2 linked regions of the Lepisosteus oculatus genome follow. The protein of the gene in region 1 interacts with the protein of each later gene in a pairwise test. Links are inferred from orthologs where the notes say so. Each region holds a gene or a part of one and is shown in the gene's direction. Other genes may lie near its edges.

The links.
Region 2: the proteins of dzip1 (region 1) and ppp2r5a interact in binary tests that used the Homo sapiens proteins (3 or more experiments, as listed by UniProt). The link is inferred for Lepisosteus oculatus from reciprocal best matches to the Homo sapiens genes DZIP1 and PPP2R5A.

The regions. Positions count from the first base shown.
Region 1 is NC_090710.1:7,094,558-7,102,346, forward strand, and holds the start of dzip1 (cilium assembly protein DZIP1), read left to right. Parts: upstream 1-4,677; 5' UTR 4,678-4,759; coding exon 4,760-4,762; intron 4,763-4,843; exon of another isoform or gene 4,844-4,921; intron 4,922-5,094; coding exon 5,095-5,694; intron 5,695-7,789. UniProt on the Homo sapiens protein: Molecular adapter that recruits protein complexes required for cilium assembly and function to the cilium basal body.
Region 2 is NC_090697.1:46,064,025-46,071,603, reverse strand, and holds the start of ppp2r5a (serine/threonine-protein phosphatase 2A 56 kDa regulatory subunit alpha isoform), read left to right. Parts: upstream 1-4,497; 5' UTR 4,498-5,397; coding exon 5,398-5,545; intron 5,546-7,579. UniProt on the Homo sapiens protein: The B regulatory subunit might modulate substrate selectivity and catalytic activity, and might also direct the localization of the catalytic enzyme to a particular subcellular compartment.

The DNA.
Region 1 (7,789 bases):
CTATTTTTCCAGCCATCCAGTCTCTAACCTCTTCAGCTAACTCAGGGTCACAGGGGAGGCAGAGCATTTCCTAGCAAGCAATAAGAAAAAGCAGTGTGTATACCCTGGAGGGGATGCCAGTCCATCACAGGGCACATCATGAGGGAACAGACACAAACACACACACTCTCATACCAATTTTCCTAAAAGTAGTCTACCAGCATTTGTTGTGGAAAAAAACTCTCACACACACAGGGAGTACATACAACCAACACAGATCACACACAGGGTCTGGAATTGAACCAAGAGCCCCAGTGCTGAAAGGCAGCAATGCTAATCACTATACCACTATGACTCCCACACCTCTGTTTTTTGTTCCACTTAATCACCACAAGAGCAATTCTGCCCAAACTATCACACTTGGTCTGGCTCAAATGGTCTGCTGTACACACCAATTATTGTATTGCTCTACATGTCTGGATTACTCATAAAATGACATTTTATGAGAGGTCCACACAAAACATAAATTAAAAATGCATTAGTTGCATTCCTGGTGAGTCTATTTTATTCTATTGCATTGATCAACACTGGGCTCACTTGTTGCTTTGCTTGTCTGTTCTTTAAATGATGACTGTTTAGCTCCCTAACTTTAGACACATGGGGTTGTTGTGACCAGTTCCTTCTGTTGTAGTGGCTGCGTGAAAGAAATCGTAAAGAATAAACATGATGAAATGTCAATCCTGGTGCAGAATTGTGACTCTGAGATCAGGGTCAGTCATTAGCAGGCTGAAATTGGCTGCACAATCTTGCCAGATTAGACATTGCTATAAGCTGTAAACACCCCAGATGGTGCCTGACAGTGCCTTGACTTAGTCCAGCCTGCAACATACCGATGGCACAAAGCCATTCTTCTCTTGATAAGCAGGACATATTGGATCCTTTCTGTGCTTGTACTACTTGATTACTACAACTGGCTCGGCAGTCTATGGGATAAATCAGTTCAAGTAAGTAGCCGTGTCAGTATGCGTAGGCTCCAAAAGAACAAGTTAAAGGTTTATTCCATGCTGAAAAGAGAAGAATAAACTTGAAGTCACTTGAATGTAACAGTCATGAATCTTCAAATAATAAAAATTACCCCAAAACATTTTATCAATATTAACAAGTCATATTATTTATCTAATAGCTTGCATGCATAGACAGAGTGTAGAGTTTTGAAACACTTTCATTTCTCTTATGAATGCTTTCTCCATGCCAATTTCTAATCAGTGTCTGAACTAAGTTGCAATACAAATACAATTGTATTTTCTTTAATTAATACAGAAGAACAAATAATAATAATTGCTTATACTTGTATAAGCGCTTTTCTGGACACTCCACTCAAAGCGCTTTACAGGTAATGGGGACACCGTCCACCACCACCAATGTGCAGCATCCACCTGTATCATGCGACAGCAACCAGAGTGCACAAGAACGCTCACCACACATCAGCTATTAATGGGGAGGAGAACAGAGTGATGAAGCCAATTCATAGATGGGGATTATTAGGAGGCCAAGATTGGTAAAAGCCAATAAGATATTTGGCCAGGATGCCAGGGTTACACTCCTACTATTTTTGAGAAAGGCCCTGGGATTTTTAACACCCGCTATGAGTCAGGACCTCGGTTTTACAGTATGTCTCATCCAAAAGACGGCGCCTTTTTACAGTATAGTGTCCCTGTCTCTATACTGGGGCATTAGGACCCACACAGACCACAGGGTGAGCGCCCCCTCCTGGCCGCACTAACACCTTTTCCAACAAGCAACCCTGGTTTTTCCCAGGAGATATCCCATCCAGGTACTGATCATGACACTAATTTTGTGGAATCTATTGGAGCCACGTTTTTTATTATTGAGTGATTTCAACCACTAGTTTAACTGTTTTCTTAAGTTACAGAATTAGCATTAGATCATTTAGATTATTTTTCCATTGACCTTCTTACCTGAGTCAACCCTACCCCCACCTCTACCATCCTGATTGCGTTGCAAATGTAGTTTTTCTTATCCTTCAGTCTTTTTGTAGATATAAGATTATTTTACGCTGTTGGAACTGCTACCCTAGAAGAAGCAGCGTCAGTTCTAATGGGAACATTACACAAACGCACACAGTAATACTTAGAAACTAAAAATGAATACAAGGTAGGTTACATTGGTTTACTTTTTTTTTTGTAAAACACCAGTCTCGTTTTCTCAAAAATAAGAAGCTATGGGTGCACTATACGTTTTCAGAGCCTTATATCGGATCTGGATAGTGCAATTGACCAATAAAGGACTCAGAGATCAATGTTTATAATGCAATTATAATTTATTCTGATTCTGAGCAAGATGTTGATATTCAGTAATTGCATTATAAACTATGTACTGAATTTGATTGGTCTGTTGCATTTAGCAAAGAAAGCAAACACACACGAGAATAATAAAGGCGCCTTACCTAAAAACTAATTAAATAACACAAAAAGTTATATAAGTAACAATTTCCAAAGAAATTCGAATTCTTTGCTATACGAAGCACGCAAAAGTTCTCACTGTTTCAGCTCATATTATTTGTAGGAAGGGAGTTTGAAAGAAGAAATAGCTTAAGTATGCAGACTTCCACACGGATTTAAATTTGTGACAAAAGGGTTTTTGAAGCCCCTCATCAACAGGCTCTGCTCTCAAACCCAGCAATGAATTTCTACTAATCCTCCGGAAGCTCGGAACATATGGCTTCATTCTCCACCTCCGTTTTGCATACTGTGTGAGGTAATGTGAGCCTCATCTGTCCCCCCTAAATCTCCCTGCACCGCTCGTTCAGACTTTCCCTTCCCCCTCCAGCCTCTCTGCGCGCTGGGAGAGACGGTGATGAAGAGGTTTTGGAATGTGCGCGTCACCGCGCCACCAGGCTGCTTTCGAGTTCCAAGAAACTTCCCCGCTGAAGAGTTTTCATTTGGGACGGAGAAACAAAAAATAAACTGATCTCCGAGGTGGGGTGAGTATTTCATTCTGTACGTAATTGCACTTTTACTAACCAACCATTTCCTGTTTGTTTTCCCCCCAAATTGACTTGTCCGCAACACTCCCGTTACTTTTCAAGTTATCTTGGTATCCTGCTGTAGCTTCTTGTAGTTCAAAGGTTTAAGATCTTTTGCACACAGAGTTAGCAAGGCAAGCTTTTACATCTTTGGGTTTTTTGTTTCTATGTAGAAAACGAGTCAGTTCTTGGCGTTGCTGCTTGTTTTGCCTGAGCCTGCCTGTCCAGACTTGAGTTTTTGGAAATGAGCTGTTGTCTTGAGGAGTGCGCTTTGTTGTTTTGCCGGCAGATGGCTTGGACCGCGAGAAAGGCCGAGTCTGATGAGTGGCTACTTGCTTGGTGATGTGTGAACCAGCAAACTGTCACGCACACGCAAATCGTGCGTTGTTGTTATTAAATAAAATCATGAGATGCTTGAAAGATGTCCTTAACTCGAAGAAAGTGCGCGACGGAATGAGAGATTGTAGATAAAGTTTTGTATAAATAACAGGGACATCACATCATAAACTCAAATCTGAGCAGATGCCAGGTTTAAGAAATCTGAGATCTTACCCACAGGGCGTGGAATCGCTCGAGATGACTAAACCAGTTATTAGCACTATATGTCCATAATTATTTTCTCTAAAACCCGATCACAATTTTGGCTCTGAAAATCTTTAGTACATTTAAAATAAATGCGACACAAATGTGCCGTTAATTTTAATCGGAAAAGGGGTTGTTTCTGTACTGTAATTACAGTAGTTGATGATAACATTGACTCTGGTTTGATAGAATGTGTGTTTTCATAGTTGATGTAAACGAGGATTTCAAAGAATAGCAACTAGAATATAAACCCAGTACCGAAGTGTACCAAAACACTTAGAAATCAAGCGTTTTTAGTCTTCACATAAAATAAACCATTGAAAATCTGCCAGGATAGATTTACACGTATTTAAATTTGATTCGTTAATTAGAAGAAAATATGAGAAGACCCATTTTGATGCAAGAAATTTCCCGTGATTGAAAACATGAAAAAAGTTCACGAAACTGGAGCATTGATGTTTTTGCACCAAAAAACAGTATTTTTTCTTAGCTTATATCAGAAGCATATATTGTAATCTTTATACAAAATATCTTTAGTTTATAATTCTAGATGCATTAGAAATGTAACTCCAGTTACCAAGTATGGATGAAATAAGTCTTTTCTTTGTGCTTTTGCAAAATCTAATAACTTAATTTCATTCTTAATGCGACAATAACTTTTTTTTTTAAATGAAGCTATAAATTCGATTAAACAGTGTCCAAAGCAACGCAGATTTGCTCTAGCCAAAAGTGCCTACTGAACAGTAAAAACAGTATCCTGTAACTCAATTGTAAAACAGGTAGTAACCATTACGTGAGTTATGGAATAAAGGACGCTATTAACGATGATATGCTTCATTTCATCTACATAATTTCTGTATGCCATTTATTAAATTGTAAAACGTTCGTTATTGTGTTAGTAACTGCATGACTGATGTTTACGACATTTAAAACGTCGTCTTTTTCTATCAATTTTTAAGGCTTGTTGTCTGCCTGCCTGTTGCAGCATCCCGGAGCTCTTGAGCGGTGTGGTGCCAGGCACACAGTGATGCTAATTCTGGTTACCTAGGAGACTGCAAAGACGCCCTGATCCCTGTCACTGCACAAAGACGAAGGGGGAGGCACCATACCGCTGAATCGTTCTCTTCTCAAGCAAAGAGCCGCAAGTCAGGGATGGTAAGGAGAAATGCAGGGAGGATTTCACAGCTCCGCAGAACCACCGTGCCTGCGACAGTTCGATTTTGTGTTGTTTTTTAATCAGGCATTCCACACTTCTTCTTTCTTGATTTTTGAACAATAACAGTATTCTGCGACTTGTTAGTTCCCAGAAACGAGGTATTTGCTAAATATGAGCTATCGTTATTGATGTAGTAATTTGTTTGCATTGATTTCTGGGTAAGGCTTAGTCGGAGTGGTTGTTGGGTTTGGTTTTATTTTATCATAAACCACTGATCACATTTCTGCTGTGCTTGGATATTTAAGTGGAAATATATATTTTTTCATTGCAGCCATTTTACAACAATATATACTATCCTTATCCGTCTGAAACCCCAGGGACCTGTTCATCTGCCGGAATCCCATCCATTTTGAACTCTCCTCAAAGCCAGCGCTCTTCCAGCATCCCCCAGCAGTCCTCTGTGATCTCTGGACCATCAATGACAGGGGCTCACATCCCATCTTTCAAGTTCCGAGCTCGCCGAGAGAGCGTGGACTGGCGCAGGATAAGTGCCATCGATGTTGACCGCGTGGCCAGCGACCTGGACTTCAATACCCTGCAGGAGAATATCATGGGCATCACATTCTGTACCGTGGAGAACGAGCGCTGCCCTTACTGCCAGAACCCAGTGGACCCGGTTCTGTTGAAGGTCTTCAGGTTAGCCCAGCTCACGGTCGAATACCTGCTACACTCTCAGGAATACCTCACCAGCAGCCTGCAGTCCGTGGAGGAGAAGCTGCAGGCCTCCATTCTGGAGAAAGAACAGATCAAAAGGGAAACAATGAAGCAAAATGAGGAGATCAAATTACTTAAGGAGGAGCTAAAGAGGAGGAAGAAGATCATTACTACCCAGCAATCAATGATCAGTGCTGGTGTGGGTAATTATCATAAGGTATGTGCCAACAAGATGATTTTCCATGTGGTTCATTGTTTTCATCCATTGTTCATGGTGTCAAATGCAGATCAGACTTTTAGTAATGCTGCGCTTTGTCGTGGTGAGTGGATGAGCTCGGGTGCACACTTAGCTGTAAAAAGTAGTGAAATACTTCATTGTCCACTATTTGGAAGAGCTCTACTGTCAGAATTGTCTCATTCAAACCACACTTTCCTTTGATATTGGTTCATATACAGACTTAAAAAAATCTAACAAAATAATCTTAAAGTAATAGTAAACATTTCTGTTTTCAAAAATGCAGATTTCAGACCTCATTAAAAACAACAGAACAGATGGTGTCTGCGGGTGGCATTTTGTTCTCTAATCCATATAACAGATAAACAGCATAGTTACACAGATAGCTGGAAACCCATTTTCTTAATGTGGCTTCAGTTCAGAATGTCATTGCATAGTTTGGAGTAGGGCAGAAGGTGTTTGTCAGGAAAGGTACTGTACCACAACATTTAACATTATTTCTAGTACAGTGCCTGAAAGAACTCAATTGTGTAATTTCCTATATAGGCCTGGATATTCTGGTATGTTATTTGTTTAAGTGAAATCAAAGGAAGGACAGTATGGGAAATAAAGGGCTGTTCATTTTGCATTTACAAGAACTACATGAAAAAAGGTCTCCTAGGTAACAGCTAGGCCTTCACACAAAGTTGCTAAGTGAAACTCAAACAGTATGGCTTGTCTGATTAAGGTGTAAGTGCAGCTCAATAAATAATGAGATTTGTAATGAGAACCTCTAACAGCACAAGATGCTCACCATGACTAACTGCTCATTTTACAAGTCAAGGGAAACATATGGAGTGTATTTTGATTATTATTATTAGTTTAATGTTTTAGTTTCTGCAATTGCTATTAATAAGCTTACTGTGTCCTATCTTTAGTGGTTTTCTACATTCTCAAAACAGTGTGATTTTAATTTTTCTGATAGTTTTTATGTCAATTTAGTCTTTGACTAACAGTTAGCATTGTACTGAGGAAGAACACTAACATTCCTTGATTTCTGGTCAGAAAAATCCATCTCCTCACAGAATCCTGAATAATGATTATAACTTTTATTTGACAAAAGTTGAAGCAAAAATGTGAAGTCTGGGTTAATTATTTTGATATGAAGTTTCATAATGTATTAAGTTGAGTGGAGTACAAAATGCCATTTACAAATGTAAAGGTTACATTCACAGCTCAGATTCATATCTGTTTTATAACACGTAACATTATTTCGGGGTGGCATAGTGGAACAGTGGTTTACAGAGCTTTACAGCACTGGGGCTTGGGTTTAATTCTTAGCGTGCTATCAGTGTGGAGTTTCTATGTTCTACCCGTGTTCTTGTGAGTTTCCTCCGGTTCCCCCGTTTTACCTGTACTGTCCAAAAACACTGGTAGGTTAATTAGCTTCTGGAAAAATTTGTATAAGTGTGTGTGTGTTTGTGTCTGTTTGTGCCCTGCAATGGACTAGCATCGCATGCAGTGTGTATCTTGCCTTGCATCCATTGCTTGCCAAGTTAGGCCCCAGCTCCCCCGAAATTTTTTATTAGGTAAAGCGGCTAGAAGATGGGTGGAAACATTTATAGTAAAATGTTTTTAAGATTTTAAGATTTAAGATCAGATGTGAATATGAAGTACACAACTTAATTTCCACATCACTTTCACCAGGCCTCTCCTTTTATGGAATAAGTAATAGGTTTATTCCATGCTGAAAAAAAGAAGAAAGAGAACACAACGTTTCGGCCGTGGAGCCTTCTTCAGGTGTCATTTTATGTCTGTGCTGTGTGGATTGAATAACAAAACTATTGTATGGAGAGCAGTAGTGTTGGTAGAACTGACAGAAAATGCTTCAAAATATATTTTTAGAGATTTGTCTACCGTTTTTGTAGAGATTCATTTTTCTCTTCACCAAAACAATACTGGATAGCAGGTGTCAGTATCAGATCTTTTAATATTAAATGAAGACTTGAGGGCAGCTGGTTAAGATTGCATAGTAAGTGTGCTGTGCGAGTTCTAGAACCAGCTTTTACACTGCCTTGTCACATCAATCTGGCTGACT
Region 2 (7,579 bases), on another chromosome or scaffold:
CCGTGATTCTAATGTCTTTTTTTCTGACTTGCCAGCAGCTAGGTACACTGTTTTTCTGTCCAGGGTCTTTTTTACGCAGCATGCAGAGTGCTGTTTTCCTTCCTTTCTTTTATCCTTAAAGTCTTCAATAAGCTGTTTAGGACATAGTTTCCTAATATGCCACTTATCCTATTTCACGAATGAATTTCCTTTGACCCTTTAATATTATAACAATCCTTCTGTGAATCTGAATTCACTTATTTCCAGTTCCCTCTCTGTGAACCCCGCCTTGTCTCTTCACAGTCTGCTTTTCTAAATTTATAAAACCTAATTTTAGACACCGCCTTAAGAGATTTAAAGTATGCCAATGGTTCCCATATCATGGTCACAAATTGCCCAGTTGTTCTGCTGCATCTGTTCCTTTATCCTGGTTGTTTCAAAAGACTAGCCCAATAAGAGCACCTATCCTAATGGGTGCCTTTACAAACTAGGTTAAGAACCAACTGAATCAATTTCAGATTCTGTATTTGCTATTGCAACATTCCAGTTTCTGTGTGGAAAATTGAAGTCCCCTCATAATGTTATGTTACCTTGGCTTCTTACATTCCATATCTCATTATACAGAAGAAAATGTGCATTAGAAAGTCTAAAACATATACTTACTGTTAAACACTTAAAATATATATTTTCCAGTTTACCTCGTACATATTCTAAACTGCCTGTATCCTCTTTTTGAGTTGTCTAGTAGGTTGTAGGTTATTTCTGACATATTGTCCCACCAGATCCCCCCTTTAATCCAACTTGTCTTCCTAAACAAATATACCTATTAATTAAAAACCCTTGTCTATGTTTCAGGTATTCCACTGATGTCAGTTACCTGTTAATATGGTATGCTATCTGGGAATGTATGAGGTTATTTCTGGAACCTAGTTCATTTTGTTTTATATTGTTTAAGTAATAAACTAGATTATGGACTTTAATGTTTTATTTGCTATCCAAAGACAAACCACACTAACATCTCTTCACTTTCTCTTTACAGGACTCTAACACACATTCTTCCATGGATTCTATTTCATTTCCATAAGCAAAACAGATTGACCATCTTACGTGTCCAGTGACGTCTCTAGCCCTGTAAATGCAAATACAAAGTCACAACTGACAAAAGTGCCCAAGTATAATTTCATAACAAGTAAAGGTTTATTACTTGCTGAAAGGTGAAGAAGAGAACACCTCTACACATTTGAAGAAGGCTCCGCATTTGAAATGTTGTGTTTCTTTTCTTTACCTTTCAGCATGGAATAAACCTTTACTTGTTATGAAATTAGTTTAACCTTTACCTATCCTTTGCAGCCTGCGCATGCTGATGCAGCTGCTTAAGGGAACATCTTCAAATATAATTTCACTAGGAATAACAACATCCAAGAATTGAGCAAAGTTTATGGAGTGTTTTAAATACAACAAAAATTTGCCGAAAGCCGCTAGGCTGAGGACAGACCTCCTGGCCAGAGGACAAGGAGGTTGAGACCCCTATGTGGAGTGAGGGAGACCAAGAGGCAGCTGCAGAGGTGGAGATGGGGTGGGGGTGGGATGGAAAATTATGTAAGTGAGGGAGAGAAGGCCATTATGTATAGTATTTCTAATGTTAAAGTGAGAAAATGACTTTAATATCGGTTTCAGCTGTCAACAATTTGTAATCAAGATTGATTACAAATTATTGACTGCTGAGACCGATTGAACCTAACTGTTTTTTATCCCTTCCAAACTTCATTTCACTATGAATAACAACACCTGGGAATTAGGTGCATTGAACAGTTTATGGAGTGTTGTTGTCAAAATAAAATGTGGTTTGGTCCATTTCAGAATCAGGGGGAGAGTAAAATGTGAGAGAAGTGTTCTGTGACGTACTGTATGGTTTGAACTGTAGGTTGTACTGGAAGTTAGAAAGATGGAGAAGAGCTGGTTTAAGGGTATTTGTATTGAATCTTATGTAAGCGAGGTAGGCTTCTGATGACCAGAGGCCAAGCTGCTTAATGAGATAGTCAGGAATGCCTTGATGAGCTGCTGGGGAAGCTTTATTCGGGAAGGAATTGCCAGGGAATTGTTCAGCAGCAGATACAGACCTTGTGAGAACATCAAGCAGGTGAAAGAAAATCACAGGAAAATTAAAGAAAGTACAGATTATTTATTTTTAGAAGCAGCAGTAACCATTGCCCATTTAATATTTCTAGTTTAATAATACTATGGCAGTCATACTTGCAGGCCTGGACCTCTGGAACACTAAGGCTCCCATTTTGGATGGGCTGTAGGAACATACTATAAAATCATAAGAAATAATAGAAATTAATGGAGGCCACTTCTGTTTAGTTTCTACTTGTGCCCTCTGGTTCGTGCTGCATTGCTTATTTGGATGAAGTTGTTGGGTTGCCTTTGTCAATGCCTTTGAAATTTTGAATACTTATATCTAATCCCATTGTAGTCTTCTCTGTTCAAGACTGAAAAGGTTCAGTTCCTTCAGCCTGGGAGTGTAGGACATTCCAATAAAACCCAGATTGTATTTTTGTTCCACCTCTCTGGACAGATTCCAGAGCAGCAATATTTTTTTTTCTGCAACGTGGCGACCAAAAATGTACACAAAATGAATAAATAAGACCTTGCTAGTGCATTATACACCTTTAATGGACAGAGAAGGAGTCACTCATATTGAACTAGTAATTATATACTTTTATTGTTCTTATATTTGAGAAAAACTTTCTTTTAAGTACTCTGCTACATAGTTATAGGAGTGAGAAATTGTTAAAATATTAGCTGTGCAAATCATCACATTAATTAAAGGTCTAAAATGCAAAAATGCTCATCTGATTATTGGGACAGGTGTACAATATCCTGTCATTACAATAGCAGTAAAGAACAGAACCATAGCTGTGCATTAAAGTAAACAATCATATAATTGCTTGGTAGCACGTTTTATTTCTTAATAGTACAAAGGGCAATTTCCTCTGCCCAGATAGAGAAACATCCTAATTTATGATGCATTGAAGCTATATTTGATAAAATAAATTACTGATTGCTGCTTTAAACAGACGTTCTCAGAGCTAATAAATATCACAGGTATACCTTCATTAACTAACACAGATGCAAAGCCATCCTTAGATATAATATCCTTGAAAATATAACTGTGCAACCTCCTCACCAATGACTTTATTATATTATTCTCTGCAGAAGGAAATGAAGTGTACTGGTTGCTTGAAGATAATTACCTTTTATGAAAGAGGATAATCTGTGAAGAAAACCGCAAGGAAATTAAAGTCAGTGGAACCTATGCAACACACCACACACACACAGAAAACCTGGCAGTTATTCAAACTAAAAAAATAGTCAAGGCAGAGAGAGGGAAACAGATTGTTTGATTATGGTGTGACAGGCATCACAGCAATAACTGCATAAGAAGAATCAGCAGTTGGTCATTAGGATCATGCTATCTGACAACCAGACTCCTCCTCATTTAAACATGTGCTGCCTTGCAGTGTGTGAGGGTCGTCTAGGAAACAGCAGCAAGAATACTCATGTCACTGGCATCAGTAACAAAGTCATTTCTGTTTTGGGGGAACATGTTAGTACCTCCTTAGTTTATCAAAGGCCCAACTAGCTAACCCAGGAATACTCTGCAGTTCTTTTACAGTTGTGGGCAGTGTATGCAAGATGTATTCCGTCTAAATAGAAAATGGAGAAAAAGGGAATATTTCATGCCAAGTGAATAAAGTGAGACTACTTGCCTGGGTATCCTAACAGAGTTACTATTTCACAGACACACCTGTGCATTTTGTCCTACTCAAGAGTCCAGGGTGACTTTTTTTATTACAGTACACAGTTTATAATTATACTTAATTATACACGTAATTATAATTATATAATTAATTATATGAACATACTTGGAGACACACATAGCTAAATCACTTTTTTAAACTCCTGCTATAAAGTGAGATTTTTATTCAATCACAAAAATGTCTTCTTTCAAAAAATGGTAGAGAATTAAAAATCACCAGTATTTTAAGTGCGATTTTCATGGAAAAAAATAAAACTGAGTTAATACCTCAAGCAACATTTCCACAACTCAGCTTTATGAACAACGCAAACCACACTCGCATCAACCATTTTAACTTCCAATCCTGTGAATTTAAAAGATTCCCCGCCTATCAGAAGTTTGTTACTTATGACTGGATTAACTGTACGTCTGTCAAAAGACTGATCACAGCCTTCAGAGCCCAAGTATGTTTTGCTCGTCTATTGGCCAGGCAGCCACTGCTGTAACTTTTCATTGGCAGGGTCATCATCGCTCAAAGCCCGCCCTCCCTGTCCAAGTCTGTCTAGGAAACCAGTTTCCTGATGAATCTCATTGGATGAATATGAGGAGGGAGGAGGGGTTTCTTCGTCTACCACTTTTCATTGGAGAGAATGCCAGTCTGTCATCTACGACTCGTGTGACGAAAGAAGCTGATATGCTGCTATTGGCTGGACCCTGTTTATGGTTGCGCGAGTTGGGGGGGGGGATACAGACTGGGTACATTGTAGCATTTTATAGTTATGAAATTTTATTTTGTTTGCAGTAAGGGTTGAAAGGAAGCAGGAAGTCTCGTAACAATAAAGCCGAACAGAAAGTTTCTATGAAAGCGCCCGTGCCTTTGTAGGTGTTGCTGCAGAGACGGACGCCTGTCTGTGCGAGAATGGTGGGGCTGGAGCCGCGGCTGCTGAGATAGCTGGAGTCCGCCCGGCTGCCTTCCTGCAGCGCGTCAGTGCCAACAAACAGCTGCGAGTCGGCGAGCAGAACAGACCCACTCGGCATTTTTATAGAGAAAAACTGGATGCATTTCTACAGGAGGAGAACATTGTCTTTTTGACTTCACCGATCATCTTAAAGTTTATTTTTTTCATTTTTGCGGTTGCCATTCACAGTTTTAAACGAACTGGTTTATTTTTTTCTTAAACTTATTTACCATCAATTTATTAATTTTAAAGCTGAACTTCAGCGACCTGTAGATTGTCCATTTAACGCGAATAATGCTCCGGGGTTTGGACTTGCTGTGTACATTTTATGATTCAAAGAAGGAAAGGTCACTGATATAAACCTGGACTGATAAGGTTTAATTATCCGGTTCTGTCAAGAGTTTGGTGCGTTTTCTTGCCGTGGAAAGCTAACCCTGCGTTTATAAAATTACGTTATTAAATAAGATGTTCTTAATGGGACATTCCGGTCAAGGATTAAGCAACGGATGGTTTTAATATTTCATTTTAGGAAGTATTCTTCTCTCTTCAACATCGGAGCGGACTTTTAAGTTTTGTGCTCCCTCATCGAGCGGAAGACTGTTGAAGTGGTAACCTTGAAGTGGATACAATATTGAGCGCAACTGCAACAGCATCAACATGTCGGCTATCTCTGCGGCGGAGAAAGTAGATGGGTTCACTAGGAAATCGATGAGAAAAGCCCAGAAACAGAAGCGATCGCAGGGATCGTCCCAGTTCCGAACCCAGAGCAGCTTCATTGAGCTCTCGCCTCTGCCTCAGCTCAAAGGTAAGAGGATAGAAGCGCCTGAAATAGCCTCTGCGCTGAAGCAGGGGTCGCTTGACGCCGCATCCCGATTTAATACTTGAAAGAGTGGCTTAGTGCAAGCAGTGAGCCAAATTGTCTAGCCCATTCCTAGCAGCCAAGCCTAGGAGAACTGCAGCTACAAAAATACGTGCGGCTTACGGTTCTCCGATATGGACATTTTAGGCAATGAATCCTTCATGAAAACCACAGAGTATGTCTAGATTAAGCTACTTTTATGATGTACATTTGTAAAAGTAAGCACGCAATATGAAGTTAACGGGAAATTAAACATCTGTAGTACAATTATCGAGCTGAAGGCTCGGTATCTGAATTACATTTTGCCCAAGGTAGCGATAGTCTTAGCTACTGTTTTCGTTTTCGTTTTTGGTCGATTTGCTGTCTTGTTGATATTCTATTAAAATGAGCCTTAATTTATCCTTCAATCTGTGCTTTGGGGTGACCGATTCTTTTTATTTGGAAAACGTGCATTGTCGTTTACCGTGTTATTTAAAACGTTCAACAATTGGACTTGTCAGGTTGGCTGCGCGAGTCTAGTTGCTGTACAGTATTTTCTTGCAGGAATACAGTACTCGGCACCTATTTACAGCTCAGCTCTTCCTGTGAAGTAGATAATCTCTCCTAACACGACTAGTCCAGTGACATGCTCTACATTGTTTTACGTAACTGTGATTTCAAAGGCAATCACTGAACTAGGAATTTATATTTTTATCTCCCAGTGGAGTAGTCAATTCATTTTATTAGCCAAAAGTAAAATATGAAAGCTTCAATTATTATTATAGTGGTCCGGGGCTTCTCATACAGAGCATTTTGCTTTACTGTCCATAAACAAAATTCACCCTGTCTAAATCGGTTTTCCCAGAATGTTTCTTCGAATGCATGATGTAGTTTTTAACATATTGCAAGTAATGTGTCACTATAATTTAGCTTTCTTGCAAAAGAGCGCGTTTGAAGTTTGAAGCATACTTAGTTACAGTAAGATGTAGGGTGAGTCAGGAAATGCATTTCAGGGATGAGCACGGACCTACAAGATTATATCACTGGTAAAAGGTGTTTGTTGGTACAAAATTAGCATCTTTCTACAGTAATGTATAAAATCACGTTCAAGATAAGTGAGCGTTAATGAAGGATAGGATTGCTTTGTAGATTTCTCTTTATCAGGTGTGTGTTCATGATTCTTACTCATTAAATATAAAGCATTGGTTTTTAAAAAATCTCAGTTTGGGAAGTTTAAATGTGGGCTACAGTTTTGCATCTTTTACTATTGCCTTTGTGTTAGTGTTTTTTAGTGGAAGCTGCGAAACAAATGGGAAATGTAATGTTTATTATTGGATGGGATTGGGGGGAGATGATAGCTGTCCAAAATGTGTTGATCTGAGACAACACCTCTGCTAAGAAATCAAAATAAAAACAACCAGATGTTCTCTGACACTTTAAAAGTAAATTGAAATACTGATATTTTCCTCCTGTGTCGTTCTACACCAGTGAAGTTGGCCTTTTAAGTAAACAAGTATGTATTTACATCATCATAATAATGTCCTGTTTGTTATTTTATTCTTTTAACAATACTGTTTTATATGTTGTTTATAATAAAGATTGTGTGTGGTGTGGGGACTAATTGGTTATCTATAGCTAGTTGAGAAATGTCATAGTTAATCAAAACCAAACTGGAAACCAATAACATCCTTGTCTTCTCTAGGTTTTGAAAATCGATTGGCTTCCTTTGTCATATTTCTGTTCAGGTTTTCTCTCATATGAGGTTTCTCCTGCCTGCATCTCAGGCCTGCCTACAGATCCAGCCTGTTAGGTTCTGCATGATATGTAGGCCTACTACAGTGGTGACAGGTGTGACTGGCTGTATGAGCACACATACGAACTGATAAAATATACTGGTTTAGACAGATTTGGAGAGAGAGTGAAACCATGACAGCAAATAGGGTCCAGTATGACTGTGGTTTTATTTTTGGATATTTTTCTGGTACCTGTGCGTGTCAACCT